Linked DNA regions of Arabidopsis thaliana. The protein of the gene in region 3 interacts with the protein of the main gene of each other region in a pairwise test. Each region holds a gene or a part of one and is shown on either strand. Other genes may lie near its edges.

Evidence for each region.
Region 1: the proteins of RHA1A (region 3) and DiT1 interact in a protein complementation assay, tested with the Arabidopsis thaliana proteins (one large-scale study listed by BioGRID).
Region 2: the proteins of RHA1A (region 3) and FOLK interact in a protein complementation assay, tested with the Arabidopsis thaliana proteins (one large-scale study listed by BioGRID).
Region 4: the proteins of RHA1A (region 3) and GTR1 interact in a protein complementation assay, tested with the Arabidopsis thaliana proteins (one large-scale study listed by BioGRID).

The regions. Positions count from the first base shown.
Region 1 is NC_003076.8:4,056,999-4,065,211, forward strand, and holds DiT1 (dicarboxylate transporter 1), read right to left. Parts: upstream 5,292-8,213; 5' UTR 4,922-5,291; coding exon 3,833-4,921; intron 3,604-3,832; coding exon 3,382-3,603; intron 3,292-3,381; coding exon 2,929-3,291; 3' UTR 2,853-2,928; coding exon of another isoform or gene 2,852-2,852; 3' UTR 2,581-2,851; downstream 1-2,580. Other genes in the region: AT5G12850 (CCCH-type zinc finger protein with ARM repeat domain-containing protein), read left to right, coding at 70-2,190; MYB46 (myb domain protein 46), read right to left, coding at 5,941-6,502, 7,661-7,941. UniProt on the Arabidopsis thaliana protein: 2-oxoglutarate/malate translocator involved with DIT2-1 in primary ammonia assimilation and in the re-assimilation of ammonia generated by the photorespiratory pathway.
Region 2 is NC_003076.8:23,666,816-23,674,498, reverse strand, and holds FOLK (Phosphatidate cytidylyltransferase family protein), read right to left. Parts: upstream 4,233-7,683; 5' UTR 3,987-4,232; coding exon 3,672-3,986; intron 2,869-3,671; coding exon 2,801-2,868; intron 2,715-2,800; coding exon 2,583-2,714; intron 2,444-2,582; coding exon 2,328-2,443; intron 2,222-2,327; coding exon 1,929-2,221; 3' UTR 1,630-1,928; downstream 1-1,629. Other genes in the region: AT5G58575 (SAGA-associated factor-like protein), read right to left, coding at 62-100; AT5G58570 (uncharacterized protein), read left to right, coding at 1,369-1,629; EOL2 (ETO1-like 2), read left to right, coding at 6,025-7,683. UniProt on the Arabidopsis thaliana protein: Kinase involved in negative regulation of abscisic acid (ABA) signaling. Substrate preference is farnesol > geraniol > geranylgeraniol, but has no activity with farnesyl phosphate. Can use CTP > ATP > GTP = UTP as phosphoryl donor.
Region 3 is NC_003075.7:6,903,827-6,909,961, reverse strand, and holds RHA1A (RING-H2 finger A1A), read right to left. Parts: upstream 2,475-6,135; 5' UTR 2,186-2,474; coding exon 1,706-2,185; 3' UTR 1,520-1,705; downstream 1-1,519. Other genes in the region: RHA1B (RING-H2 finger A1B), read right to left, coding at 3,423-3,896; AT4G11350 (transferring glycosyl group transferase (DUF604)), read right to left, coding at 5,802-5,906, 5,987-6,135. UniProt on the Arabidopsis thaliana protein: Probable E3 ubiquitin-protein ligase that may possess E3 ubiquitin ligase activity in vitro.
Region 4 is NC_003074.8:17,696,428-17,704,640, reverse strand, and holds GTR1 (Major facilitator superfamily protein), read left to right. Parts: upstream 1-3,717; 5' UTR 3,718-3,869; coding exon 3,870-4,086; intron 4,087-4,652; coding exon 4,653-4,870; intron 4,871-4,950; coding exon 4,951-5,504; intron 5,505-5,593; coding exon 5,594-6,515; 3' UTR 6,516-6,699; downstream 6,700-8,213. Other genes in the region: HA4 (H[+]-ATPase 4), read right to left, coding at 6,840-6,936, 7,036-7,214, 7,295-7,477, 7,584-7,769, 7,878-8,038, 8,149-8,213.

The DNA.
Region 1 (8,213 bases), on a different chromosome or scaffold from region 3:
ACCCAAGTAACGTTTTTTATCTTTTGGTTGATTGTTTCAGATCTTTTTTCTTCTCCAGTGCCGTGAAGGATGTGTGGTCTTGCTAAGAAGCTGGATATAGAGGATACTTTGACATCACTGTCAGACCAAGAGAATGAATCTTTGGCCAAACCCATGAATGATGCTGCTGAATGGGAACATTCGTTTTCTGCCTTGCTTGAGTTTGCTGCAGACAACGATGTGGAGGGGTTTAGGCGGCAACTCTCTGATGTGTCTTGTATCAACCAGATGGGTCTTTGGTACAGACGGCAGAGGTTTGTTAGAAGAATGGTTCTTGAGCAAAGAACCCCGCTGATGGTTGCTTCGTTATATGGGAGTTTAGATGTTGTGAAGTTTATTCTTTCTTTCCCGGAAGCGGAGTTGAATCTGTCTTGTGGTCCTGATAAAAGTACTGCTCTTCATTGCGCTGCTTCTGGTGCTTCTGTGAATTCCTTGGATGTTGTCAAGTTGCTTTTGAGTGTAGGAGCAGATCCTAATATCCCTGATGCTCATGGAAATCGTCCTGTTGATGTTCTTGTTGTGTCTCCACACGCTCCTGGTTTGAGAACCATCCTTGAAGAGATCTTGAAGAAAGACGAGATTATATCTGAAGATCTGCATGCCTCGTCATCTAGCTTGGGATCAAGTTTCCGGTCTCTCTCATCATCCCCTGATAATGGTTCCTCGTTACTCTCCTTAGATTCAGTATCCTCTCCGACTAAGCCACACGGTACTGATGTAACTTTCGCATCAGAGAAGAAAGAGTACCCAATTGATCCATCATTGCCTGATATCAAAAGCGGGATTTATTCAACCGATGAGTTTCGTATGTTCTCGTTCAAGATCCGCCCATGTTCTCGAGCATATTCCCATGACTGGACTGAATGTCCATTTGCACACCCAGGTGAGAATGCAAGGAGAAGAGACCCGAGGAAGTTTCACTATACGTGTGTTCCATGCCCGGATTTTAAGAAAGGATCCTGTAAGCAAGGTGATATGTGTGAATATGCTCATGGGGTTTTTGAATGCTGGCTACACCCTGCTCAGTACAGAACACGATTGTGCAAGGACGGAATGGGTTGCAACCGAAGGGTTTGCTTCTTTGCTCACGCAAATGAGGAGTTGCGTCCCTTGTACCCTTCCACAGGATCTGGATTGCCATCTCCTCGGGCTTCGTCTGCTGTTTCCGCCTCTACTATGGACATGGCGTCAGTTTTGAACATGTTACCAGGCTCACCATCTGCTGCTCAACATTCGTTCACCCCACCAATATCTCCTTCTGGAAATGGTAGTATGCCCCATTCATCGATGGGTTGGCCTCAGCAGAACATACCGGCGTTGAATCTTCCTGGAAGCAATATCCAGTTGAGTCGTCTGAGATCTTCTCTTAACGCTAGAGATATTCCTTCTGAGCAGCTTAGCATGCTGCATGAGTTTGAAATGCAACGTCAGCTTGCTGGCGATATGCACAGTCCACGCTTTATGAATCATTCCGCTCGTCCTAAGACACTGAACCCTTCAAATCTGGAGGAACTCTTCTCAGCTGAGGTTGCATCTCCTCGTTTCTCTGATCAACTTGCTGTTTCATCTGTTCTATCGCCTTCCCACAAGTCCGCGCTTCTTAATCAGCTGCAGAATAATAAGCAGAGCATGCTTTCTCCTATCAAGACAAATCTAATGTCTTCTCCAAAGAATGTGGAGCAACATTCTCTTCTGCAGCAAGCCTCGTCACCCCGAGGCGGAGAGCCTATTTCCCCAATGAATGCTCGAATGAAACAGCAGCTACATTCACGCAGCCTAAGCTCCCGTGATTTTGGATCTAGTCTGCCCCGTGATTTAATGCCGACTGATTCTGGTTCGCCATTAAGTCCATGGTCAAGTTGGGACCAGACCCATGGAAGCAAGGTGGATTGGTCAGTCCAATCAGATGAGTTAGGTCGGTTGAGAAAATCTCATTCCTTGGCTAATAACCCAAACAGGGAAGCAGATGTTTCATGGGCTCAGCAGATGTTAAAAGACTCTTCATCACCTAGGAACGGAAACCGTGTTGTGAACATGAATGGTGCAAGGCCATTGACTCAAGGTGGTTCGAGTGTGAATCCTCACAACAGTGACACTCGTGAGAGCGACATTCTTGATGCGTGGCTTGAACAGCTGCACCTAGATCGCTGAGCCTCAGCTGCGAGAGAGAGGTTCACATTTCTGTGAAGCTGTGAAACTGATGATTCGTTTATTTATTATTCAAGAAAGCAAACGGAAACAAAAGCAAACTCCGGGTAAGCTTTTTTCGATTCTAATAACCCTAAAAGGCTCAGTTTTTTCAGGCTTCTTTCTGAAATTTCTTTACTTTCTTATTTTTATCACCTCATTAAATTAATTATTGTATCATCTCTGTTGTAACAATGGCCAAAGTGCGCCTCTATTACTTCCCGGATTTCTGATTTACATTTTTTGTATCCTCTCAGTTTGTCAATTGTTTCTAATATCTCCTTCATATTTGTCAAAGAACACTGTATGAGAAATAATAACATATTGTTTCAGCTAATAAGATTCATTCATTTCCTATTGCTTTCTCTGCTTTCCTGTTTTTTCCACTAAACTTTAACCAGCGATTCATAGACTAATAGACATTAATCTCTCAACTAACACGTTTATGGAAGTCGAGTAACTATCAAGTAAAGTGGTGGTCTCACTTTGAAACAGTAAAGTTAGAAATCAAACAAAATTGACGCAAGTTAAGATTGCTTACACTTCAAAATGTGTGTGAGTGAGAATAAAAATTGCAGAAAAACTCTGCTCAATCCTTATAACCCTGATTTCAATCCTTCTCAAATCTGAATCTCAAAGCCGTTCTAAGAGATTATATATATAAGTAAGGAAAAGAATGGGAAGATTGGTGTATGGTGGTCCTCACCACAAGCCAATGAACTTCCACCAGGCACCACCTACACCAAGCCAGATGAGAATGTTGACTATTGAAATCAGGAATCCATAGCCCCACCATTTAGCCAGCGGCACGTAGTTAGCTCCGTAGAAGATAGGCGCAGACCCGATACCATAATGGGTCAATCCTCCCATCAGGTTGGAAAGGAACGCAAGAACCAAGGCTGCAAAGTAAGGTGGAGTGCCTAGAGCGGTTGAAACCGATAAAAAGGCAGTGAACATAGCACCAATGTGGGCAGCTCCACTAGCAAAGAAGTAGTGAGTGTAGAAATACAAGAGGACGAGGATTCCAAAAGATAGCTGCCATGACAAACCCAATCCTCCCACAAACTGCAATCAAAACCCAAACAATGTCAAAACATTTCATTAGCATGCTAAGTCATTAGGCTTATTAAGCATTCATCAAATCATTTAACAAACCTTGACTACGGTCTGGCTGAACCACTCAATGAGACCATATTTGTTAAGATAACCAGCCATCGCAATGAGAGCAGCGAACCAGGTGAGTGTGTCCCATGCGACCGACTCAGCTAAGCACTCTTTCCATGTCACAACACCTGTCACAAGAAGGACTGATAATCCAAGAATGGCTGCAGTCACAGCATCTACACCCAACTTAGCTCCAAAGATCCAGAGACCAACCTGTGTCAAGGAGAACACTTTTTTAGAAAAGGAAAACCTTCTCTGTAATAAAACACCAAAACCACAAACATTTTCACTCAAAGCAAATGCATTAAACAGAAGCAAAGCCCTAGCTTAATCTAAGGAGCTACAATAGCTAAAATCTCTCAATGTTCAATACTGAAGCACCTTTCAAATCAAGCTCTCACCATAAGTAAGAACAGATCCGATGAAGCAGAAGCACACTTACCGTGAGGAATAAAGTGGCAGCCATAATCAATTCGTTCTTAGACATAGGTCCCATCTTGTCAAGCTTTTCCTGAGCCAGCTTAGGAGCATCAGGACTGCTCTTCACCGTAGGAGGATAGATGAGATACAAAAGAAACGGAACAACAATCAAAGACACAAGTCCTGGTACAATCGCAGCTTTAGCCCAATCAGTCCATCCAATCGTCTGCTTAATCGTGTTAAACGCCAAATTAGCACTCAAAGGATTCGCAGCCATAGCCGTCAAGAACATAGAAGAAGAGATCACAGAAGTCTGGAAACAAGTAAGCATCAACCACGAGCCAAGACGGTGCTCTGTTCCATCCCCAACGTTACTCCCACAAGCAACACAGAGAGATTTCACCAACGGGAGAAAGATTCCACCGGCACGAGCCGAGACAGAAGGAATCGCCGGAGCTAAAAGAGCTTCACTGAAGACGAGACTGTAACCGAGACCAAGGGAGGAGCTACCGAAGAGTCTAACGAACTGGTAAGCTACACGGTTACCGAGACCGGTTTTGATGAAACCGCGAGCGAAGAAGAAGGCAAGAGCGATGAGCCACGGGATTGGATCTCCGAAAGCGGAGAACGCGGCGGCGAACGTTAGGGTTTTGGTGAGAACGGAAGCTCCTAATCCCATTAGAGCAACAGCACCGAGAGGAAGCGGCTGAGTGATGATCCCGACGATGGTGGCGAGGAAGATCGCGAGTAATTGCCACGCGTTGCGAGTGACACCTTCGGGGACTGGAACGAACCATAGAATCAAACCAGTAGCGATCGAAGCGAGAAGAGGCTTAATGGCAGCTCCTTGCCATGGAACCGGAGCTGGAACCAAAGGAGGAGTTGGAGAAGAGGAAGCTGAAGCGACGGTGGAAGAGGCTTTAACGAGAGTTGATGATCTCCGGCGTAAAGAGACGGGAAGTGGAGATTTGAGTAAGGAGAAGCGAGAATCGAGAGATCGGAGAGGTTTCGTCAAATTGAGAGAGGAAGAAGGAGGACGAGGGAGAGAGAGAGATCGAGATTTGAGAGGGAAAGCGAGAGAGCAGGAGCCGGAGAGAGCGAGAGACGCCATGGTTGTAGCGTCGTCGGCGAGAGAGAGGTGTGAAGAGGAGAGGGAAGTGAAGAAGGAAATGAGTAAGAAGAGGAAAGAGAGAGTTGGATAAATGTTGACCGTTGGATTGGAATCGGACGGTGAGATTAAGAAAAGGAATATACGGACAAGAGTGAGAGAGAGTGATGATGAGATGAGATCGTGAGGTGAGAAATAGAGATCTCCGTCTTTGGTGGGTCAGTCACCTCATCCTATTGGCTGAAATATTTACGAAAAGCCATTTTGGGTTTGGGTTTGGTCTTTTTAGATCGACGAAACATACAAAGCAAAATCCTTCACTCAACAAATTTTCTATTGATTTATTAGCTTTGTTTTTTGGTTTTGAAAGATCTTAAACTATGCGTTTACTAGTGGATCGTCCAATGAAAGATTAACTGGCAATAGAATAGTAGCTTTCATTACATTGTCCAAGATGGGCCGAGATGGCTTCGCTTGGAATTAAATCTAGTGTAAACCCTTAAGCGGCCTCTCGTTTTTTTTTCTTTGAGTGTTATATGGTTCATAGTTTTGATTTGTTTGTTTAGAGTAAGGTGTGACATCAAATATTGAATACATGATTCTTTTATGTAAGAGGATACTTTCTAATGTGAATGTCTAAGAAAGTTACCAAATGTTTTAAAGTACATTCAATAAAACAAAATGTTCAGTTTTATCCAAAGATATAACATCAGAAAAACTTTCATTTAATTAGTTCAATCTTCTCCATTGCTACTTGATTACAAAATTCTTCAAGTGTTTGCCCCTGTTATATTAAAGAATGTATGTGCTTATTATTTCTTTTATTTATTTATTATAGGATATATGTTTTACATTGACTAATCATTACATGGCACCTCAAGGCTCAAGCCCTAGTACGAAAAGATTATTCGAAATACAAAATACTCTCTAACAATGTATATATATTTGCATTTATGTGTGTGTGGCTAAGAATCTTGAGTATAAACCGCAATAGAAAAAAGAATAAGATGACGTAAAAATATTCATATGCTTTGTTTGAAGTTGAAGTAAAACGAAGGAACCTCAGTGTTCATCAACTGGTCAAGGTCCCAAAATTCTTCCACTGGTCTCATACCCTCAGGTGCGTTTCCGGATCCATTAGTGTTCAACTCGTCTAAGTGGTTGTTTATATTTGCATTGTACCAATCACCTTCTTCACATTCCAAAGGTGGGAAGTAGAGTTCCCCTTGTACCCCTGCGTTTACTCCATAGATACCATCTACATAAGGGGTAAAATCGTCATTGCACGGGTGGCTGATCATGTTTCCCGTTGGAAATGGATTGTTGGTTTGTATGTGGGTCAAGGAAGGGTTGACGAAGCCTTGTTCTTGTAAGGACATGAAGCTTCCTATAATGTCTTTAATATCCAAAGAAGATGCGGAATTAGAAGAGGAATCGCTTGCTGTGTTGGGTGATGAGGATGAGTTGTTGATTAAGTTGGAGGTATCGGACATCTTCTTTAGCCTTTTCTTTATTGTTGAGTTCCAGAAATTCTTGATCTCGTTATCGGTCCGACCAGGCAATCGTGCTGCAATCTGAGACCACCTATGAAATCGAAGAATAAGAGAGTAGAATAGTTTAATGAGATGATGTTATGTAAAATGTATACCAGTGCATGGTTTGCATGGGAATTAGAGAGTGATCCGTTCTTCATGTTTTTTATGTTTGAGTACGTGAAAAAGAGGCAATATATCAACAATTATAAAATTGCACAATCATATTAAGCAATAAAATGACATTATACACACTGCGTGTTTTGAATTGAATCTATATATATATATATATATATATATATATATATATATATATATATAAATAGAGAGGAAACATGTCCTGCGTAAAAAACACTAGAACGTATATTTCTGGAGAAAGTGACAAAAAAAGGAACTAATAAATATATAATTACAAAGATGAAAGTTGAAGTAAAACCCTAAGGAAGAGAAGAAAAGGTGTGTAAAGTGACAAAAGCCGCTTTCACTAAAATAAGTGTTTGTTGTTAGATAAGATCATAAGACGCACTCTAAGTCTTAAAACCCACGATCAACGAACTTTGACCACTCACATAATTACATGTGAATGTACTCATACCTATTTTGGTTTTATGCGTCTATTTCCATTCTTACTACTATTATTCTAATTCAACTTTCTTTTGGGTCAATTTTCTTCGTACACAATCATTCTTCCCTTTGAATTTAAACAGTTACTAATCGTACCAATGAAAACTCGACCAAACTTTATCCTTCCACGTAAGTTTGATTATACATTTTACGATGTTAACGTATCTTATATATATAGTATTACTTTTTACTGATTAATGTAATAGTATAATTGAAAACTCGTCCTTAAAACAAACATAGATATTATACCTCTAAATAGATAGCTCTGCACTTCTTATTTATTTGGTAGAAAAAAAAAATCAAATAAAATATGGTGAAAACGTTATCAAGATCTAATTTGACAATTTGGTCGTTTTAGGGTGGACTTTTTTTTTAAAATCAGTTGACTGGCTTTTCTATGCTTTAACTTTGTACCCATTAACCGAAAACAAATTAAGCTACACAAGTTTAAAAACAAGACTCACCAGACAAAAGCTAGTTTGCCAGAACATTTATATTTATCTTCCGGCCACTAGTTTCCATATTTTATTCTATCTCTTAGTTGTTGTTATTATGTCAAAACCAAAATGATGGTAAAAATGTAAACCTGTTGCCGAGGATGGAATGAAAGCGAATGATGAGATCCTCTTCTTGAGGAGAGAAAGCGCCACGCTTGAGGTCAGGACGAAGATAGTTGATCCAACGAAGACGGCAGCTTTTGCCACATCTTTGAAGTCCTGCGTTTTTCGCAACATCACTCCAACATCCTTGTCCATTGCTTAACATGTATTGCATCAGCTTTGAGTCTTCCTCAGGAGACCAAAGTCCCTTCTTCATCTTCTTTACTTGGTGAGTACTAGCTGCAATGGCTACCTCTGGCTTCCTCATATTTTTGGTTGAGTTAATTGTTATTATTTCTCTTCAATTTGTTTGTCTTTCTCAAGGATCCATTGATGTGAACGAGTGAAGTTTGTTTTATAATAGAGAGAGAAAAGAGAGAAGACTTGATGAAGGGAGAATGATGATGATGAGAAAGGGATGGTTGTATGGTTTGCTTACAATTCTGGGAAGAAAAACCATTTGCACTTCTTCCTTTTTAATCTCTATTCCTTAATTATATTTTTATTGTATATATTATATTTATAATATAGTGTTGCTTT
Region 2 (7,683 bases), on a different chromosome or scaffold from region 3:
AATGTGGAGCATATAAACAGTAATTGAATTCATCATGAGATGAGACTAAATGAACAAATACCTGAGCATGGGAAGATTTATTATCCTCTGCGCCAGACATTGGAATCCTCTAAATACGAGATTGCTCAACAAAATGTCTGCGAGAAAATCAAAACCAAATCGTAAAGAGAGATTTCCATCACCATCAGGAGCCCTAGAAAAAGCGAATTTCTCCAGAAATCAAAAAAGTCGATCATCACTATCTAACAGATTCGTTTTGGAGTTTCTGTGATAGGAAACTCTACTACTCATTCCTCACAACTTTACTGTTTCAGGTTCCAAATCAAATCATCCAATAAAACAAACCCAGTCTACAAGCATAGATACAGAAACGAAATCGCCGTAGAATCAGAAAGCTTACACTGTAGAGCCGAGTCGCGACGGTGAACGGAGGAGGGAGAGAGAGTTTTTTCTCTCTCGATCTGTTGAATTTTACATCGGCGAAGAAACCACCAATCATGACTTGCCACGGCACCCAGGCCAAGCTAAAATATTAAACGGCAAGCGTTTCTTTACTTAATCATATAAACGACACGGTTTTCCTTCTCACCGTCACCTCGAATAGAAAGAAAACGACACTCCACGTCATCTAATTTCTGTTATGATTTTTTTATTAAAAGCCCATCTCATGGCCCATTCAAATCTCTTTTTTTTTTTTGCAGCACCCATGCAAAATCTCAGTAGAGCACACCTCGATTATAGCTTCTTCTTCTAGTTTGGCACAATTGCTTTTTTGTTTCTTCTGAAAATGTCTCTTTCAGAACCATTCAATTAATACAAGCATACCACGTTTTCTTCTATTTCGAGAATGCGTGAAGAAGTTAGCAATTTTAAATGGGCCAAATCAAAGAGTAATTAATTTTTGTATTCATATAAATAAGGGCAGAAGAAGAAGCAACTAACATGAGACACAAGGTCGCTTCTCTCTTGAGGAAATTTCCGGGAAAGTCACGGAGTCGGTTATGGGAGCCACACGAAAAGGATTTTCTTCAAATTACGAAAACGACGTCGCACGTAAGATCCAAAAAGACCCAATCCAACGCCCCATATGTAGAGAGCAATCACTAACGAACGTCCCAGTCTCACTTTCTACACCAACCTTTATACAAAAATCCATCTACTAAATTATCCCAAAGAAATATATTTAAACTCTTCTTTTCTTCTGTGGTGACATATTGTTTTCATTTGATACATATTCTCCCAAGTCAAATTTATATTTCAGAGAGGAAAAAGAAACAGACACAAATCCCTCCAAGATGATGCATGACAGTATGAAGTAGGTATGAGCAAAGGAGTTGAGATTTGAGAATATTTGAGATTACCTCTCTAATGGTAACTTCTACGGTGGAGGCCTCGAGTCCTGAAGATGGCGAACGACTTACTTTCACTAGAGACAGACACTACGCCATGCATGGTGAGATCTTGACGGTAGTTCTTGTCATCAGCTTCGCCGTCTTCCTCTTGTTCCTCGTGTTGCTTCCTTGTCTGAAACGCCGTTACAGTCACCAGTCCGACCTGTCAGAAGAGGCTTCCTGGAGCGGGACACTCAAGCCCTCACCTGTTGTAAGCAAACAATCCATTTCCACATAGCCATAGGCCAAATAACAAACAAACATGTATTGAATATCTGTTACAAAAGAGTATCTGTTACAAATTGTAGAAGCGTCACTGTTCGTCATCATATGTCTCACTAATGGATAGAACATTACAACATTGTACCCAACTGCAATTGCAGCTGAAAAATAAGATTTGTGGACAACAACAATATGAGATGTTTCACTAATACGTACATACAGAAGAAGATGGGAACAATGAATGCAGTTTTACCTCCATATCAGCAATCAAGCTCGACCCTTTATTTGATGATACATAACAACGAGAGGGTATTATTAGAAGAGTAAGAATCCGGCCAAGGCAGAGGTTAAGGAAATGGTGAGATTGTCGTCAATGTCGGTGCTTATTGGGAGTGATTCCACAAGAGCTGATGCTATAGAGATGACGAGGAAACGAAGAATCATTCCCCCGCTATCCTCGATGTAACCAAATGAAGCAAAGTAGTACATATACGCAACAGATGCTAGAAACCCGGCGGTGGCCATTCCAATGCTACCAGCAAATGATTTGTTTTTGTTGTAAGGAAGCTTCTCTGTTCCAAACCGCCGACCCACAATGTCAGCCATACCTTTTAACAGCAAGTGTGTGTATTAGAATCATCATTCAATGGATTCAAATTCCTAAGACAAAAGTTGCTAATGTTATTGGATCAAACCAGAGCTAACTGTACTTACCATCTCCTGCGCAAAGGTTGCATATCACCGCAATCGCGATTGGGGATGATTTCCAATAGTAGATGCAGGCTGATGTGATTGACAGTACATAGTAAAGCGGCCCCTTAAGTAGTTCCCTGATGCAGAGAGCGACTACAGACACTTTGTGAAGTGACAAAAGCAATAATAAACAGACAAACCGAATTTTGATCATAGATACCAAGAATGCTAAGAGATTGTTGGATATTGTGACAGACACTTGTTCGATTCAGCTACCTGCGATCTCCATGTCTGCTCATTGACTTGATTGTTCCTTCGTCGTGGTACACTCCAAGCCCCAGCAATAGCATCCTTACTATATTGAGTCCAGGTACAAGAGATGCGAAAAGTGCTCCTTGGATTCCAGAACTGAAACAATTGATATCGAAATAAACTGGTGAAGCAGAAAAGCAAGCTGGTACATCAAAATCGATCCTTTCACTCCGTATTATTACCTGAACAGCGGCCAGCAAAGCATAAAAACTAGCCCAATATTTATATGCACAAGCTTCCGGATGAGTTTCTGAAAAATAAGAAATAACACCAATGTCAACCACAGATGTTAAACCAATGCCTCATTCAATAAAACCATGAAAGTGGAGTCAGTCCTACATCAGACAGCCTGTGGATCTTATAAATTCAATGGGTTCTGAGATGATATCTTAATCACGATAAGGTCAGAGAAACAAAATCAAGTAGCTGAAGCCATACAGGTATTCCCAAACCAAAAATGTTTAATAGAATTTTTGCTAATCATAGATAATTCCTCTACTCCTAACCAAATTACTTGAAGAAAAACAAGTCACTGCGGAGAAACACATAAGAGAAAGGAAAAAAAAACAAGCCATGTCCAATATGTGTATAGACTGACTCATACGAAGAAATAATCCTTCAAAGTATAGCAAAGAAATTGTGCAACATTTAAACCTACAAAATTCATATATATCATAAATATGGTTGAATCTTCAAGTTACGATGAGATTGTGATTATACCGCACGAATTTCAAAAAAATTTCATCCCCAAATTGGGTTCTGAGCAATTTTCCCACTAATTTACCAGATATGGGGTTACTTTCCCATTGTTTATCGCAGTGTTCTTCCACCCCAAAATAGGTATCCATTCACATTCTATAATTTCTTGAACTAATAAGATTTATTATCCTCGCCATTAATGCCATCCATTACTCGATAAAGCTTACTACTACCATTACTCTGAATCCAAAGTTGCTTTAACCAGAAATTGCAGAATCGAGCAACATTCCAAAAACGTTATTCAACAAATCGACGCGTGTATAATTTAATTAAGTGAATTGAATGATCGAAAACCTGGTCGAAGATGCCACGTTTGCCAATCTCTCCCCAGAAACCGAGGCACGAGAACGCAACGATGCTAGTGACTCCAAACGCGCAGACATCTGATAAAACCGAATTTTCCGGAAACATCACGGCGGCGAGTGAAGACTTGCGGATTTTGGTGGCCGGAAACCTAGAGCTCGATCTAAAGCTAGTCGCGATTCGGACAGTGAGGAATCGTGGAATCGGAGAGAAGAAGGCGAGAGAAGGAGGAGAGTCAACGAGAGGAGATGAAATGAAAGAGCAGCAGAGAACGGAGAGCTTTGTAGTAGTACTAGTAGTTGCCATTTTCTGCAACACTAGAAAACACGACCTTTTCTTCGATTACGTTTTCATTTATTTTTTTTGACAGTAACTGGTTGGTAGTTGTTGTTGCTCAAGCACACAAAATTTGGTTTGTTTTATTGTTTACCAAAAAGATGGTGAAAAGTGGATATTTATTTCCCCAAAAGGAGTGTTTTACTTTATCTGGTCACATATGGATTAAAGCAATTTTAGTTTCGTTCTATTTGGATTCGGCTAGAATGGTTCATGACATGGTGGTGTTCGTTTGAGGAAACGCATAATTTGTTATTGTGGGCCTAGTTTGGGCTTTATATTCGCTAAATAATTTGGGCTGGTATAAGTCAACTAGACGGACCACAATTTGATTTCATCAAATAATTTTTCATGATTAATAAATCCCTAATTTAGTTACGAAACACAATTCAATTATTGTGCTACTCAGATTCGAGAAACATAAAAAAAAAAAAAAAAAAAGTGATTCAGATTCCCTCACATGGGTTGCCGAGACACATGACCACACGTCTCTTGCCTTGTTTAATCTTTTATCAATTTTGCATCAACTTGTATATACCATAAGAAAATTATTTTAATTGATTTCAATGTGAGATTTTCTTTAGTATTTTTTGCATCAAATAATGCCAACCTAATCCTCAATTATCCATCTTTATTTTTTTTCTGAAACAATCTTATATTATTTATCTGTTGGCAAAAGAAAAAAAATCCTCAATTATTTCGCAAATGGTATATATGTTTATCTTTAAAGAGTACACTTGCATGTGTTTTCCAGGTGTGCGGGCAAAAGAACATCAGAATTGGTTCTGGATATAGTTCTCTCCACTTTTTATTTGTTATTGTTTTAATACAGTACGTTTTATGAGAGTTTTTTATATATATAATAAATTATGCGTTTCCTGATAGTTGTTGGTCCAATATCGAGAACAAAAAAAACTAACTACAAGCTAAAAACCTAAAACTATGAAGATCTCAGAAAATATAAATATACACGCTCACGTTAGCGAGTAAAAAAGTAGACACCAGATTAACAAATGATTAGTGTGATCACAGTAAAGAAATGTTTTGCAAAATTTTAAGCAATTTTTTGAAATCATGTTGTATGTAATAAATTGAGTAAATTCATGCTGTACATAAATTAAAGACCATTTCTTTGTTAGTCATTGAAATCATAACCAATCAACCAATAAAACTGAATTTTTTTCGTTCATTAGAGAGATAAGTTAATATCTTCAAAGTTTAATGTTAAGCTCAATTGTTTAGATAGGAGATAACCGATAAGAAACCACATAACTAGTTAACCTACCTATCTTGGCATCACATGAATCAATGACGTTGGATAGTCAGAGAGGCTTATTTTAATTATACCCGAAACGAACCAACCATCTATAATTCTCTAAACTATATTTAATCATCATATAACTCTGTAATAAACCCAAATTTTCACAAATTAAAAGCCATACCAATATCTTCAAATATGGAAAAAAATAACAATTTAACAAAGAAACAAAATATTTCCTCACCAAAAAAACAGAAACAAAATATTGTTTTAAAAAAGGAAAGTGGTCTTTACACAAAAAGGAAAGAGAAAGGAAAGTGGTCTGGTTCGTATCGCACCCAATAAGAACCACCAACTGTTGAAGTTCGTAAACTGTTCCACAAAAAAATGCATAAAAGAAAGAAAAACAGATATGAGATTCGACCATTTTTTTTCCATATAAATGTTTTTTGGGTTTGCAAAAATCGACGCCATTACTCTTTTTTCTCCCCAAATTATTGACCTTTTTATAAAAATAATTTATATTCTCAATCACACTTCATCGTCTTCTTCTTCCTCTCTCTCTCTCTCTCCTTTTTGTCTCTGCACTGTGTGTTGTCACCGGAGACAGAGCTTGTGTTTTCAACTCTCTCTCTCTCTCTCTCTCTCTCTCTCTCTCTCTCTCTCTCTCTCTCTTGCTCTCTCCGTCTCCCTCACTCTCTCTTTACTTCAAAATCAAACCCTTTTCTCAGATTTCTGTGATATAGCAAAATGCGCAATCTCAAACTCTTTGAGAGATTTAAAAGCACTCAAGTCCACGCCTTTACTACACAAGACTCTCCCTCTACAAGCAGCAATGGTAGCCCTCGAATGATGAAGTTCCTTGGGCATCCCAAATCCAAATCTCGTTCACTTCTCCCTCATGGCTTTCCCACCACAGACCTCCTCGAGCCTCCCTTGGACTCTTACCTCAAACCTATCGATTTGGTGGAGTCATTATCAAATCTATATCGGAGAATCGAGTCCAGTTCGGAATCCGAGGCATCGATGCTCTACCTTGAGCAGTACGCTGTTCTCCGCAGTCTCGGTGATGCCAAGCTCTTGCGTAGGTGCCTTCTCAACGCTAGGAGGCACGCCATTGATGTCCCTTGTAAGGTTGTTTTCTCTGCTTGGTTGAGATTTTTTAGGAGAGAACATGAACTTGTGGGAGTTGAATCTATGGATTGTAATGGGCTTGCTTCTGAATGTCCGAAGACTAGTTTGACTCATGGTTGTGATTTGAATGTAGACGACGAGGGTTGTGAATGTTCTACGGTATGTGAGGATGAATTTGGTAGTGATGACGTTAAAATCTCTAAGGCTGATGAGTTTTCGGGTCTAGATGAGGTTAGCGATATTTCCTTCTGCGTAGGTTCAGAGAAGGCTAAGTGTGTTAGGTCGAGAATCGCAGCGCTTTCGCGTCCTTTTGAGGCCATGTTGTATGGTTCTTTCGTGGAATCAACAACTTCTGAGATTGATTTCTCGGAAAATGGCATCTCTATTGAGGCAATGTTGGCACTCAACATATATAGTAGAATCAAAAGAGTTGATCTGTTTCGTGTGGAAACTGTATTTGAGCTGCTTCAATTAGCCAGCAAATTCTGTTGCGATGATCTGAAGTCTGAATGTGAGGCTCGCTTGGCTGCTTCTGTCACTGACCTTGATAAAGCTTTAACCTTTGTAGAGTACGCGTTGGAGGAACGCACAACGCTTCTCTTATCTGCTTGCTTGCAGGTGTTTCTGAGAGAGCTTCCTCAGTCTCTTCACAATCCCAAAGTGATGAGATTCTTCTGCAGTTCCGAAGCAAAAGAGCAATTAGCTTTTCTGGGTTCAGAGTGTGTGTTCCTGTTGTACTACTTCCTCAGCCAAGTAGGCATGGAAGAGAAACTCACGACGGACACTATGCTGATATTGCTAGAGAGAACTCGAGAGTTTGCTCGTACAAACTGGCAAAAGGCTTTGTCTTTGCATCAAATGGGATGTGTTCTGTTTGAGAGAAAGGATTACAAAGCAGCCCAGTTTCATTTCAGATTAGCTTCAAGCTTAGGGCATGTCTACTCTTTGGCTGGGGTATCAAGAACTGAATATAAACAAGGGAAGAGGTATTCGGCGTACAGGCTCATGAACTTTCTCATCTCTAATCACAAGCCACATGGATGGATGTACCAGGAGAGGTCTCTGTACAATGTTGGAGTTGAGAAACTAAAAGATTTAGCAACCGCCACTGAACTTGACCCGACACTGTCTTTTCCGTACAAGTACAGAGCCGTAATGAAATTCGAACAGAAGCAGATTAAAGAAGCCTTCCAAGAGATTGATAGATTAATTCAGTTCAAGCTTAGTCCAGAATGTCTCGAGCTGAGGGCTTGGCTGTATTTAGCCACTGGTGAC
Region 3 (6,135 bases):
ACAAACTTTTACCTAACTTTGGTTTTTCTGATTAAAAAAAACGAAACCTACTAAAACAAATAAGATTCTTGTATACTAGGAATTTAGTTTAGTATATACTCCATATCAGTTACCTATCATTATCAAATGGTACACTCTGTAGCTAGGAGTAGGACATGGCAAAATATTCGTTAAATTTGATTTGATTATTCAAAAAAATTATAGACATAATAACTCAAAGCAAATATTAAAATATGGTATATGTTTTAAACAGAGCAAACAAAACACAAATAACAAAAGTAAAAAGGTCGAATATCCTGCTTTAATCCATATTTTCCATGTACATATACTATATGAGAAATGTGTATTTTTTATTAACTTTTTTTTTTTTTGACAAATTCATATATTATGAAGTACGTTGAAGTAATTTTAATATGATAAAAAGATTTAACTGATAAATATAATCATGAAATAAATAAAAATCATTATTATTTTCGATTTTTATTTCTTTCGAAATAAAATGTTTCCGAAATTGTTATTATTTTTCGTATATCAAAAATGAAAACATTTCTTCAAAAGATGTAATATCTTTGAAATAAAATGGAGTTTTAAATAAAAAGTCTTTGATTTAGTTATTATTTTCTTTTTAAAAAACATCGTTTTTTAATACCTAGTTAGTTGTACATATTTAATCATTCTTTAGTTTATATAGTATTAAAAACCATCAGAAAAAAACATATGTTTAATGAATTTTGTAACAAGAAAATATATTAAAATAAATTATAACTCGGTACATTGATCTGATGATAATAGATATAGTTAGGAGTGTCAAAATGGGTCAAAATTCATAGGTCAACTCAACTCAACTCAACCCATGAACCTTAATGAGTTGAAAATTTTGACTCAAATGAGTTGATGGGTCAAATGAGTTGATGAGTCAATTGGTTTGATGAGTAAAATGAGTTGGGTTATAATGGTTAATGGTTTCAATGGTTTACCCAATTAACCCATTAAGTTTTGTAAAATTGAATTAAACCAACTAAAATCTCTAAACCAATGTCAATTTAAGTTTAATCAACACATCTAAACCAATTTAATAAAATTAATATTTTTCCAAATTTCTTAAATATACAAACGATGAAATTGAGAAAAAGTAAACTCGTAATTTTTTCACCAAAAAAACATAAACCCGTGATTTTTCCGCCAAAAACGTAAACCCGAGATTTTCCCGCCAAAAACGTAAACCCGAGATTTTCCTGCCAAAAACGTAAATCCATAATTTTTCCGCCAAAAACGTAAACCCGTGATTTTCTCGTCGAAAACGTAAATCCGTAAAAAGTGGAATCGGTAAATATCCTAAGTTTGATGATAATGAATTAATATTGATAATTATTTATTATTATTTTATAATAATAATTAATTAAATTACTATTTAAATAGGTTAACCCATTTAACAACTCAACTCATCAAATTAAATAAGTTATGGGTTGACCCAACCCATTTAACAAAATGAGTTGGGTCAACCCATAACTCATTTAACCCTAAACTCATTTGATTATGAGTTAAGTTGAGTTGGGTTATCCATTTTGACATCCTTAGATATAGTGTTGTTTTTGTATAAAGATATATATAGTGTTGTTCCTTCAAAAAGATGATCTATGTTAATATACATAGAGTTATACTGGAATTGATACAACAAATATTCTGCCGACATAGATTAAACCAATTAGTTGGTACTTTCCACTTCATCACTAAACCAATCTGAACCAGAACCCCAATCAGATTGCGTGTACTTTTCTTTCGGTAAGAACCGGTGCCGACAAACCGGACATTTCATCTTGTTGTAGTCAACGATCCAACGGTCTAAACAATAATGATGAAACACGTGTCCACACTTGGGTAGCTGCCTAACCTTATCGTCGGACTCAAAATCTGACAAACAAACCGTACAACAATCTTCCGGATCGGTCGGAAGATCCGAGAACCGAACCACCGGGATCAACTCGTTAGCAAGACTCGCTGACGTAGAGAGAGCGTGTCGGGTCAGATCGGGTGCAGAGGTCTCGTTGTGGTCTAGAAAACGAGGTAGACCAATGTAAGGACAAAGAGCATCGACGATGTCTCTAAAGAAACCGATGACGTAAAGTATCTTTAATATGTAACTTGGAATCTGAAGCTCGGTGATGAAATCTTCAGGAAGACCCATGATTTAGAGAAAGATAGAGAAGAGAGCTAGATTGAGATGTGGAACTATAGAGACAAGAATAAAGTGTGTATAATAAAAAATGGTGAGATTTATAATTGTGTTTGGAGTACAATTCAAACCGGCAGCTGAAGATAAGTATAACCAAATTGATGTCAAAACAAAAGAGAATACATATTCTATATACTTTTCTTTGCAAAACGGTGAATGGTTGAATTTTAATAACACAGTTTAAAGACTATTGACATCAAGGAATTTTAATAACACTGTTTAAAGGATTTTTCAAAGAAAAAAAAGTTCTTTAATACTACTTCAAAATGGTAACGACTATTCAGAGACTCCATCCAAAAATTTATAAAGTTTTACAAACGTATAAAAGTAGTTTGTTTAAGTTTTCTTATAAAGTTACACTTATTTAGGTATATTTCAGATTTTAAAGATATTTTTGATAAATGTTTTAGAGAGATGACATTTTTGAAAAGTGGTAATGGAAAATGTGCATTTCTAACAATTCTTCCTAAATATAGTATATGATTTTAGCAAAGCAAAACTCAAATAATATCAGTTAAAAAGTCGATTATCCGCTTTAATTCAAACTATGTCAATTTTGTAGTAGTTATATAAAGTACAACAGAAAGAATTTAAATATGATAAAAAAGATTCATTTGATAGATATTATGAAAGGCAAAAATTTGTTTTTTTCGTCGAAAGACATATAGATTTATAGTGGATGAAATATCTTCTAAACTATTATTTTTTTTGAATAAAATATATTGCTTTATATCAATTTTGACAAAGACTAAGGTAGTTTACGTATTAATTCATTCTGTAATTTATAAAGTACAAATAAAAATAGTATCATGGATTTTAATAGACAAATTAAGAGTTTCTTTAAGATATTTTTCGGTATAAAACTGTTTACAAATTCTATTTGGTAGAGACGAATTAGATTATGAATACTGTTTTTCTTCAAAAGAAAATGAATTCAGATTCCTAACATAGCGATATACCATAACACTTGATGTGTTTATTTGTCCACTTTTTTATTCAAATAAAAGAAAAGCAGATTACATTGGAAGATTTTATACAGACGGTTCTTTAACAAAGAAAGATGATTGATGCTAATATACACAATTACATAATCTTATACTTGAATTATACAGTAGTTTGGAAGAAAGAATTATACAGTAGAAAAATATTACCGTGAAAAAAGTAAAAAGTAAAAGTAAAACCATCATTATTAGTTGGTACTCTCCACTTCATCTCTAAACCAATCTGAAGTACCCCAATCAAACGGCGTGGACTTTTCCTCCGGTAAGAACCGGTTCCGACAAATCGGGCACGTTATCTTATTACAGTCAACGATCCAACGGTCTAAACAACGATGATGAAACACGTGTCCACACTTCGGCAGCTGTCTAATCTTATCGTCGGATACAAAATCGGATAAGCAAACCGTGCAGCAATCTTCCGGATCGGTTAAAAGATCGGAGAAACGAACCACCGGGATTAACTCGTTGGCAAGAGTTGCTGACGTGGAGAGAGCGAGTCGGGTCGGGTCGGATCGAGAGGTCTCGTTGTGGTCAAGAAAACTTGGTAGACCGATGTAAGGACAAAGAGCATCGACCATGTCTCTAAAGAAACCGATGACGTAAAGTGTTTTTAGTACGTAACCTGGAATCTGAAGCTCTTTGAAATCTGTTGGAAGACCCATGAGTGTGAGAGAAAGATAGAGAGGAGAGAAAGAAAGAGATAAAGCTTGAATTGTTGAATTATAGAGACAAGTATAATATATAGTGAGATTGATGTTGGAGTTATAATAATTGAATCCGGCGGCTCAAGATAAGTATAGTCAATTTGATCAACAATGGTGGGTCTTATTTAGTGTATAATGTAAAATAGTAAAATATTTTGCTTGGTATAGAAACAAAGAGAATATATTAATACAATTTTCTGTGATAGATAATGTGGTGACGTTAAGGGTCTTCTTTAGTATATACCAAAACAAAAAAAACAAATTTTAATATTAGGTAGAAATTTAATACCCGAATGATGGATTTATTGGGATCTTGACATCAGGGATTCAAGAGTGGATAGTGAAGATATGAACACGATCTTGAATCTATAGGTCCTACCAAACTAAAATCATCTTGAATCCATAAGAATGATTCTCTCCTTACATGAGATATTATATACTTCAAATTTCATATAGAAGAGCAAATGGGGATGTAGCTCAGATGGTAGAGCGCTCGCTTAGCATGCGAGAGGCACGGGGATCGATACCCCGCATCTCCATTTTTTTGTTGTGAATTTATCCTTGTTTTTTGTCGTTTTATTATTCCCACTAAAAGATACACATTCTTTGATATTGGGCCTTTGGTACGAAACCCATAATTTGGACGCACTCATACTTTAATTCGCACGCATTTAGACACTCTTTAGTACTTTATTATTCAGACATAACGGTGATGAAGTCATCTTGTCGTAGTTCTATATTCGGTTTGCACAAAGAGACACAATGAATTATCCAATGTCAGAGCGTTTCACTTTGTTTTCTCAGAAATATCTTTAAAGTTTTGTCATGCAGAATCTTCAAAATTTAGCAACACACTGAGTTTTCAAAATTTAGCAACACACTGAACCTTCAAAATCTAGCAACACACTGAGTTTTCAAAATTTAGCAACACACTGAACCTTCAAAATTTAGCAACACACTGAGTTTTCAAAATTTAGCAACACATTGAGTTTTCAAAATTTAGCAACAAACTGATATCAAATTTGTAATCCTTAGCTTGCAAATATAGAATTTGTTGTAGTAGAGACATTTTGAATCAAGTAAAGATGTAATCATATTATATAAGTTACTATATGATCCACGTAATGGCTAATCGCTTACCGGTAATTGAAAAAGAGAAACAAAAAAATAATGTTAAAGACTAGTCGATTTAGTATAAGTTTGTAAGCTAAGAAAGAACTGCAGTAATGGATGGCTCCACCATCTTATTTAGCCTCTATATATGGCCTTCAAGATTGTGATTCTGATTTATGAATCATCTTCTTCGGTTCAACAAACAAATTTTACTTCAAAAAGTAAAATTTTAAAATAGGTTATAAAGACTTCAACACTAGACTATTTAGATTCTACACAAGTGACCTAAACCAGAAAACCTTGTCTATACATGATCAAGACCTGCCTTAAATTTAAGATAGTTGCAATATAGAGCAAGAGTAGAATGAAATTTCAGTTGAGGAGGATTTTAGCAATTACCATTAGACTTAAATTACAATGACACTTTCTGCTTTTTTACATATTGTTGGAGCAATAACATAAGTTCTCACTAATGACATAAGTTCTCACTAATAACATAAGTTCTCACTAATAACATAAGTTTTTCAGAAGACTAAAATATAGTTTCCTATATATTTTCTTCCTCGGTACTAAACCAACTGGCTTTGGCGAAATATTTCACGGATTACAATGGAATAAATTGAGATTTGGAACTTAATAAATGAGATTACGAGGAAAAATAAATTAATCAGCAAAACTATATGGTTAAAAGCCTAACAAAAACCCCTAATTATTTTTCTCTTTCAAAATTTTCTTAGTACAAAATAGAAATTACTTTACTTCAGTGACTTCACCTGCTCTACATACACCAACATTGATCCATAATGTATTATTCCTCTTTGTTTGTAATACTCTGCAACAGTTTCTTCTAGGTGACTGCCAAGAAAATACTAAGCATTAACAGATTAATTTAAAATTTCCAAAAATGAATCTCTCAAAAACAAAATATCACTTACTCTGTTCCATAGGTGAGGATCGGGTTTTTTGTAGACGACTATAGTGTTGATCTCCTCTGGGTTAGCCATATCCCATCGACAAGCCGGTTGCGGAACCCGATGTCTCGTGTATTCGCTAACCGTCGTGTTCAACTGCGGGTCAAATTTTG
Region 4 (8,213 bases), on a different chromosome or scaffold from region 3:
CTTTCTACAACTTGATCAAATCACTAATTTCCAAATAAACCGCGTCAAACCCCAAAAAGTAGGAAGTATATGGTAATATGGACATACATCATCATCATCATCATCATCATCATCATCATAACCACCTCTTCTATTTTCATATATGTTTTTTTTTCTTGTTTGCTTGTATTGATTAGTTTCTTCGTATAATGACAACCCAACTGAACTGAATTCTTTCTCGATTTAGTTTTTGTTTTTCTTTTTTCATGCATATATTACACCGAAACGTACATTCTTTAGCAAACGTAATTATAAAAGGATGCCAAAATCTAACCAGTCCAAATTATTACGAGTTCATATTTGAGTTATTTAACCGAACCGGACCATACTATTTAGTCATCACCTCCTAAACCATTGTTCACTTTTCACATATGATACGGACTTAGTTGGTAGGTATATGGATTATGGAGTACTATTTTATTACAATAACTCTCTCATAATTTTCACAATAAAAAACACGTGTGTACACTGTATACATACGTACACCATAAAACATGTGTTTTTGTGGTCCACGTATATCCAACACGTACATATATTAGTATAACAGTGTTGTTTTCAAAGATTAGAAAAATATCATTATATATTATTGTATAAACCTATTGAAAAGTCTGCTAAATTATAACTTTTTGCAATGCTTCCCATCGTACACCCTTTTTTTCTCTCTTACAAATAAATTTCTTGTTCAGGCCAGTTTGTTGGAATTCTAAATAGAATTGGGCATTGCTTTTTATTTATTTAAATATGTAGACTCCACTTATAAGGAAAAATAACTGGTATTTATGTAGTTGAATTTAAATGAGAAATGAACTGGAAGCATGCAAAAATAAAAATAGAATCCCTAATCCAGAACTATCTTTGTATAATTTTTAAGAACATCAGTTTCTTGGTCTGAAGTCCATATTAATTTTCTTACATGCATGTGCAGCCAGGTTCTTTTTGGTCTGCAATGCCATGAAGTCTTCCTTGAATTGTTATTTTTTTTTTAGTTTAAAGTAATGTATATTTGTGTGCATTAAAAAAAGAAGAAGCAAATGTTTAGTGTGAACACTGTACTACAAAATAATTTGGAGTTGGGATCTTTCAAGTCAAAACCTAATTGAAAAGGAAGAAAACACTGGTTATATCTATGACTTTATTTTGGGTCGGCTTAATAACGGAGTTTAGGACTTTATAATGTATACGATTCATCTTGCACAACAATCTACACGTATGAAAACTATAATTTTAAATACTAAGTATTCATCTAGATATTCTGCTTATCAGGAAGATTTGTTTATCTTTTTTTTTTTTGTTTATCTTGAACTCAAATAAAGACTTAAGAGGATATGAGAATCAATTTAGTGAAACAAATGTTGTGTAGATAAGATCCTGGGTCCACAGCTTTGTCAACAACAATGACTTGTCATCGTCTATGCCTAGCAAGTATTATAATAGATTATAGACAATTATGAGCGAATAAAAATCACTCAGTGAAACATACTATTGAATAATTTAGAGGAATCTTTCGAGAATTCGAAAGAGGACACAACATGTTTAGCTGGACGATCTTCTAAGGTTTCACCTATCGGATCATATATTACGAAAAAGTGAGAGTAATTATTAATTATGAGCTCCAACAAACAAGAGCAACTCAAATCAAAACTTCTGGACTAGACGCAGTAATTAATTAGAAAGAAAAAGACACGACAATTAAAGAGAAAGTTATTCTAGAAATTATTGGAACAGGAAAGCTTCCTCTATATATTTGCGATGGAAACAGAAAAAAACAATGAAACAAAAACATAGCCAAATGTTTTTACCACATGATTTTACCAAAGCTTATTAGATCTTGGTTCTTAGACTGGCGAGAAACTGAGAGAGATCGGTGGAGGAAAAAGGGATGAAATATATAGAAGTTGGATTTTGCTTCAATTAGGGTTTTGATTTGATGATTTTTTTTTACTGAAACAGAAACTGAACGGTGTTTCTAACTGTGAATTAGGATGGTGTTAAGATGGCAAATATTATATGTAAAAACTCTAGCGTAAATATCCAATGAGATAGCTAGTTAGATATTGTTTTGGCAAATGCTAGGTGTTTTTTTGGTATCATTTCCCCTAAGCATGTGTGTGTTTAGGTTTTTGATTAAAACTAGCAAATTCTGTGGACTGCAATACTCATCATATATGCCAAACTTCGAAATCACATCAATAATAACCTCAATAAATGTGAAGTAACTAAAGTGGACCCTTTGCCTCTTGTCTTTACATATGTAATCATCCATTTATGAACGGAATCTTATGAAATTTATGAACCGATAAGTAATTAATTATTTATTTTAATTTATAGTCTTTTTTCTACCCCATTGGTAATTTTGGAAACCAAATATCCAAAGCAACCTCTATCGCTTTACCCCCACCCCCATGCAGGTATACGTACAAATGTGCAATTTGGTCGGTCAACTGGGTCTTAGTCAGTAGCCAAATGTCTCCAACATTAAATTGTAAGAGAAGATGGCAATATGCATTCATATTGTAACAAACGTATATGTCCTCTAGACGGGCGTGATCTACCTTTAAGATTAGTTCAAAAGCATAAAGTCGACTGATAGCACAAAATGATGTCTTGCCAAATGTGTATTTCGGGTAGTTCGATGTTTTTGGGATCGGCAAAAGTTATTTGAGAAGACATTCATATATATATATATTTTTGATTTACGGGAGTAGGGTAAACATAGAACAATACACTTTATAGATATTTATATATACAAGAGAAATGTGTTTTTAATTAGGATTAGCTGGGAAAAAGAGAGGCTGGCTCTAGATCTTTTATACAGACACCTACCGACTTATAATTATTATCACTGCACATGCATGTGGATCATATATATTAAAAGTAAATTACATGCATAACTTACATTAAAACTAATTATTCATTATTCTTGTTTAGTTTTTGATACTTATAAAATTTTAAATTCTTTATCCATAAAACTAGAATTTTTTTAGAAATATACCATTTTTACTATGTGTATATATATATATATATATATATATATTTTAAAATTGACCATATGTGTTGTCCATTTTCAATTATACATATTTCAAAAATAATATATTTAATGTCTGTGACGGCTTATAGTGGTTGAATAATCATTCATATTTATAAAATCTTATAATTCATTTAGAAAATCTTGTATTTAAATTTTTTTTTTATAAAAAATCTTATATATCGTTATACATAATTGAAAATATACAATATATGCGGTTATTTAAAAAACATATTACTTGGATATTTTTGAAATTCCCCCATAAAAGAAGGGATTTTTTTTGAAATAGCTACAAAGAACATAAATTAGAAAGTATGTTGACTTTATTCGTAAATTATAAATGCTAGTAGATTTTAGAGAGAAAAAAAAAACGAAACCTAGTTTTTCTTTTACGCAACCGAAACCTAAAATTATTAAATTGATAGGTTTGACATATATAATATAATAATTCGATCGAAAAATTTGACTACAGAAATCTGAAATCATAAACTTGGTGTAATGTAAACATACATATCTCATTAAACAAAAAACTAATATATAAAATAATTGACTTTTGAAACAATATATTGACTTACTAGTGTAAAAATGGGCCTACCTAAATCCAGCTAACTCAGCCCACACATTAAAAAGAAACGTTAAAGGGAAAGTAATAAATGAAAATGAGTCACTCAGAGACAGATGTCTCTATCTTTCACAGCCAAATTCACACCATTCTTTATTTTCATTTTTCCCCCTTTGCCCAGATTCCGACAAAATCCACTCGTTTGATTCCACCACTATATATAATTGAGCGGAGAAGCTTGACATGAAGAGCAGAGTCATTCTTAACCATAGAGACAGAAGAGATAAGAATCATAACAACAACAACACCAATCATTACACACAGGTTGATACTATGGAGAGAAAGCCTCTTGAGGTTGAGCCATCTACTACGACGACTAACACCGATGTGGTCGATTCTTTCGAGGAAGAGCAGAGAAAAATCGTTTATAGAGGATGGAAAGTCATGCCTTTTATCATTGGTAACGCTCCTTTTTACTTGTTTGTGTCTAATTCAGACATCATTTTTTTCTTTTGGGGTGCTTTGTCGGATTTTAGGGAAGTGTAACATTTTGTCCGTGATGTTTTTAAATTTCGTTTCTTTTCTCTTCTCTTTGACTTGACTCTGTCAAAAATCTCGAATTTGGAGTTCTTTCTCTGAGATTTCGAAGTGAAATTGGTTTTAAAACTGAGATTTCGTTGAAACAATGAAACCCAGATAATCTTACAGATCTGTCTAATGGAAATTATATTTTTTACAATTGTTTTCATTTTATTTTCAAAGAGACTTTTGAAATCTTTAACACAAAAAACAGAGACTTTAAATCATGCAGTTAAGTTTCTGAAAAAAGTAGATAAGATTTTTGTGAATTTCTGGATAAGACAAAATTAGTTTATGGGAGTTACAAAACAGTTATAAAGTTTCATGTGAACCAAAGTCAGAACATTGGAAGTCCAAACTTTGATTTGTGTGTTTCCTTGTACATTAAATGTAAAAAAAAAACTGTAACTGTATTCTTAATTTCTTATCATTAATTTGCTATTGTAGGTAATGAGACATTTGAGAAGCTTGGGATCATAGGGACATTATCAAACCTTCTTGTGTACCTAACTTCTGTATTCAACCTTAAGAGCTACACAGCTGCAACTATCATCAATGCCTTTAGTGGTACAATCAATTTCGGGACTTTTATTGCTGCCTTTCTTTGCGACACTTACTTTGGTCGCTACAAGACTCTCAGTGTCGCTGTCATCGCTTGTTTTCTGGTACTACTTTTATATATAATCTTTCATGACTCCGGTTTCGTTTTCGCCAATGTTTTCTAAACCATTTTTCATCTCTGTAGGGATCGTTTGTGATACTACTTACTGCTGCAATTCCGTCGTTGCACCCCGTTGCTTGCGGAAACAAAATCTCGTGCGAAGGGCCAAGTGTGGGACAGATACTGTTTCTGCTCATGGGTTTAGGCTTTCTTGTGGTAGGCGCTGGTGGTATCAGACCGTGTAATTTAGCGTTTGGTGCTGATCAGTTCAACCCCAAATCCGAATCAGGAAAGAAAGGGATCAACAGTTTCTTCAACTGGTATTTCTTCACTTTCACGTTCGCGCAGATCATCTCGCTCACAGCAGTTGTGTATATCCAGTCAAATGTGAGTTGGACAATCGGTTTGATCATTCCGGTGGCTCTTATGTTCTTGGCGTGTGTGATTTTCTTTGCTGGCGATAGATTGTATGTAAAAGTGAAAGCCTCGGGTAGTCCATTGGCTGGTATTGCTCGTGTTATAGCAGCCGCGATCAAGAAACGAGGTTTGAAGCCGGTTAAGCAGCCTTGGGTCAATCTTTACAACCATATCCCGTCTAACTATGCAAATACTACTCTAAAATACACCGACCAGTTCAGGTAAATTGATATCTACTTATTCTTGGTTCTCTTGCTTTATGTTTCTGGCTTTTGTTTTGCTGAAAAATGTTTGTTTATTATGTTGCCAGATTTCTAGACAAAGCAGCAATTATGACCCCCGAGGAGAAGTTGAACTCCGATGGAACGGCTTCCGATCCATGGAAACTATGCACGTTGCAGCAAGTGGAAGAAGTGAAATGCATTGTAAGAGTGATTCCAATCTGGTTTGCATCCACGATATACTACCTTGCAATAACTATACAAATGACTTATCCGGTCTTCCAAGCGCTCCAGAGCGACCGACGATTAGGTTCTGGTGGCTTCAGGATTCCTGCGGCCACCTATGTAGTGTTCTTGATGACTGGCATGACAGTTTTCATCATATTCTACGACCGTGTACTTGTCCCGTCGCTCAGAAGAGTGACCGGGTTAGAAACCGGTATATCACTCTTACAAAGAATCGGAGCTGGGTTTACATTTGCGATAATGAGTTTATTAGTTTCCGGGTTTATAGAGGAAAGGAGAAGAAACTTTGCATTGACCAAACCGACACTCGGGATGGCGCCTCGGACAGGAGAAATCTCATCAATGTCAGCGTTGTGGCTGATTCCGCAGCTTACACTTGCAGGCATAGCAGAAGCTTTTGCTGCCATTGGACAAATGGAGTTTTACTACAAGCAGTTTCCTGAAAACATGAAGAGCTTCGCGGGTTCTATCTTTTATGTCGGTGCAGGGGTTTCGAGCTACCTCGCTAGCTTCTTGATATCAACTGTTCATCGAACAACCGCGCATTCACCTTCAGGGAATTGGTTAGCTGAGGATCTGAACAAAGCGAAATTGGATTACTTCTACTTCATGCTCACAGGACTCATGGTTGTTAACATGGCTTACTTCTTGTTGATGGCTAGATGGTATAGATACAAAGGAGGTAATGATGAAGACATCACTGAGATTGAGACCAATGAAGAAGAAACCAAGCAACAGCAGCTACAAGACAAGAACTCTGTCTGATCTGGAAACTTATATATTTTTGGTATTCTACTTCAATCTCCGTAGTTTTTCTTCACCCGAAATCAACCTTGTTGTACTTTTATAGATTAATTGAAGAAGAAAATCACTTCATCTTTGTAGACATGTATTGTAAAATAAGTTTTTTGTTGCTAATTTCAACCTCCGTACGAAGTTTCTGTTTCTTCTTTCATCACCACAACAGAACAGAACATAACAAACCGCTAAAAGAAGGCTACGAGGATTCGATATTTATATGCAATATGTATGTATTAACTACAGACACAACCTTCATGACCCAACTGAAATCAGCTTGCACTCACTTTCTCAGACAGTGTAAGCTTGTTGAATGGTTTCTATGTCGAGTCCTTTGAGTCTCACCACTGATTCAACATGGCCCTTGAGCGTGTGAAGTTCACGCAACCTATAAAGAAGAGAGCAGTAGACAGAGAGAAGACGATGAAAAAATGTTCTTTTGTTATGTTCAAAAAGCTGGAGAAGATTTGGCTTTGAGTTACTTTACCTAGCAATTTCAGCTCTCCTCTTGGCTTCTTCAGCCATTTGGTTAAGTTCACTGACATGGGTTCGATCTGTGAACATCTTAGTATCTGGTGCTTGTAGACCATGGAGCGTTCTTTGTGCGTGAGCCCATTGCAGCTCTCTTTGTTCTTTCCCAAAATCTTTTTGCCTTGTGAACGCAACCTATGAAAATGCAAGAAACCCGATAAGAAACTTTAATGTATAAAGTGGCACAAAAGCTATTTGTGTTCCTAATAACATACCCTTTGTTCGATAACAAGATCCCAGGCTCTGCCACTAAGAGCGTAGCGGATGAAGAATTTGATGAAATCAAGGGGGATGTAGAATATGATGTTATAGAGCCAAATGACCCCGGCCCATCCCCAACCTATTCCTTCTATCGCAGCAAAGCTCCAATTTGCATAGACTGCAATTAGAGTAGCCACCTGTTTTGGAAGCAAAACAAAAATTCATATAATTAGACCCAAAGCTCATAACTTTTGAGGTTCTCATTGTGTACTGATCACACAGTTAACAAACTTCCGGAATTACCAACTGAGCGAGGATAAAGGCAATCATAAGAAATATCCCGGGACGTTCCACAAAAGACCAGCTTCGCGATCGGGTCACAAAGATAAGTGCCTGACTGATAATACTGACTTGCAGGTATATGGCTGAGGCAAGCTTTCGGAAATCATCATGAGCAGTTTTCTCAAGTGTCGCAACTCCAAAAGTTCTCTGAAGTTTCAAGTAAGAAAAGCTGAGATTAGCTGTTAGTGAAAGAATTAACAAAGCAAATAAAACCAACGAGATAAACACAAGTGACGGAGAGGAGAGAAAATGTACCGGGAAGAAATCGGTTTTGTATGAAACCCAGAAAAATATAACGGTCATCATGGCCATGTAACTGCCAAAGACAACACCGGTAGCAAAAATCTCAGAAAGCTTCCAGCTATCTGGAAGAGGGGAAGGTTTCACCCTGTCCTTTGATATTGTCATGATCGTACCTAAACGTCAATTCCACAAGAGTTCATTGGTATATCAGAGTCTAGAGGAACTAATAGAAAACTCTGAAAGTCTAATTATGATCGAGAAAAAGAGGAAATAAGAAATGAACCATCATTAAGAATGGCAATGATAAGGACCATGAAAGGTGGGAAGTCAAACTGCCATATGAGAGCC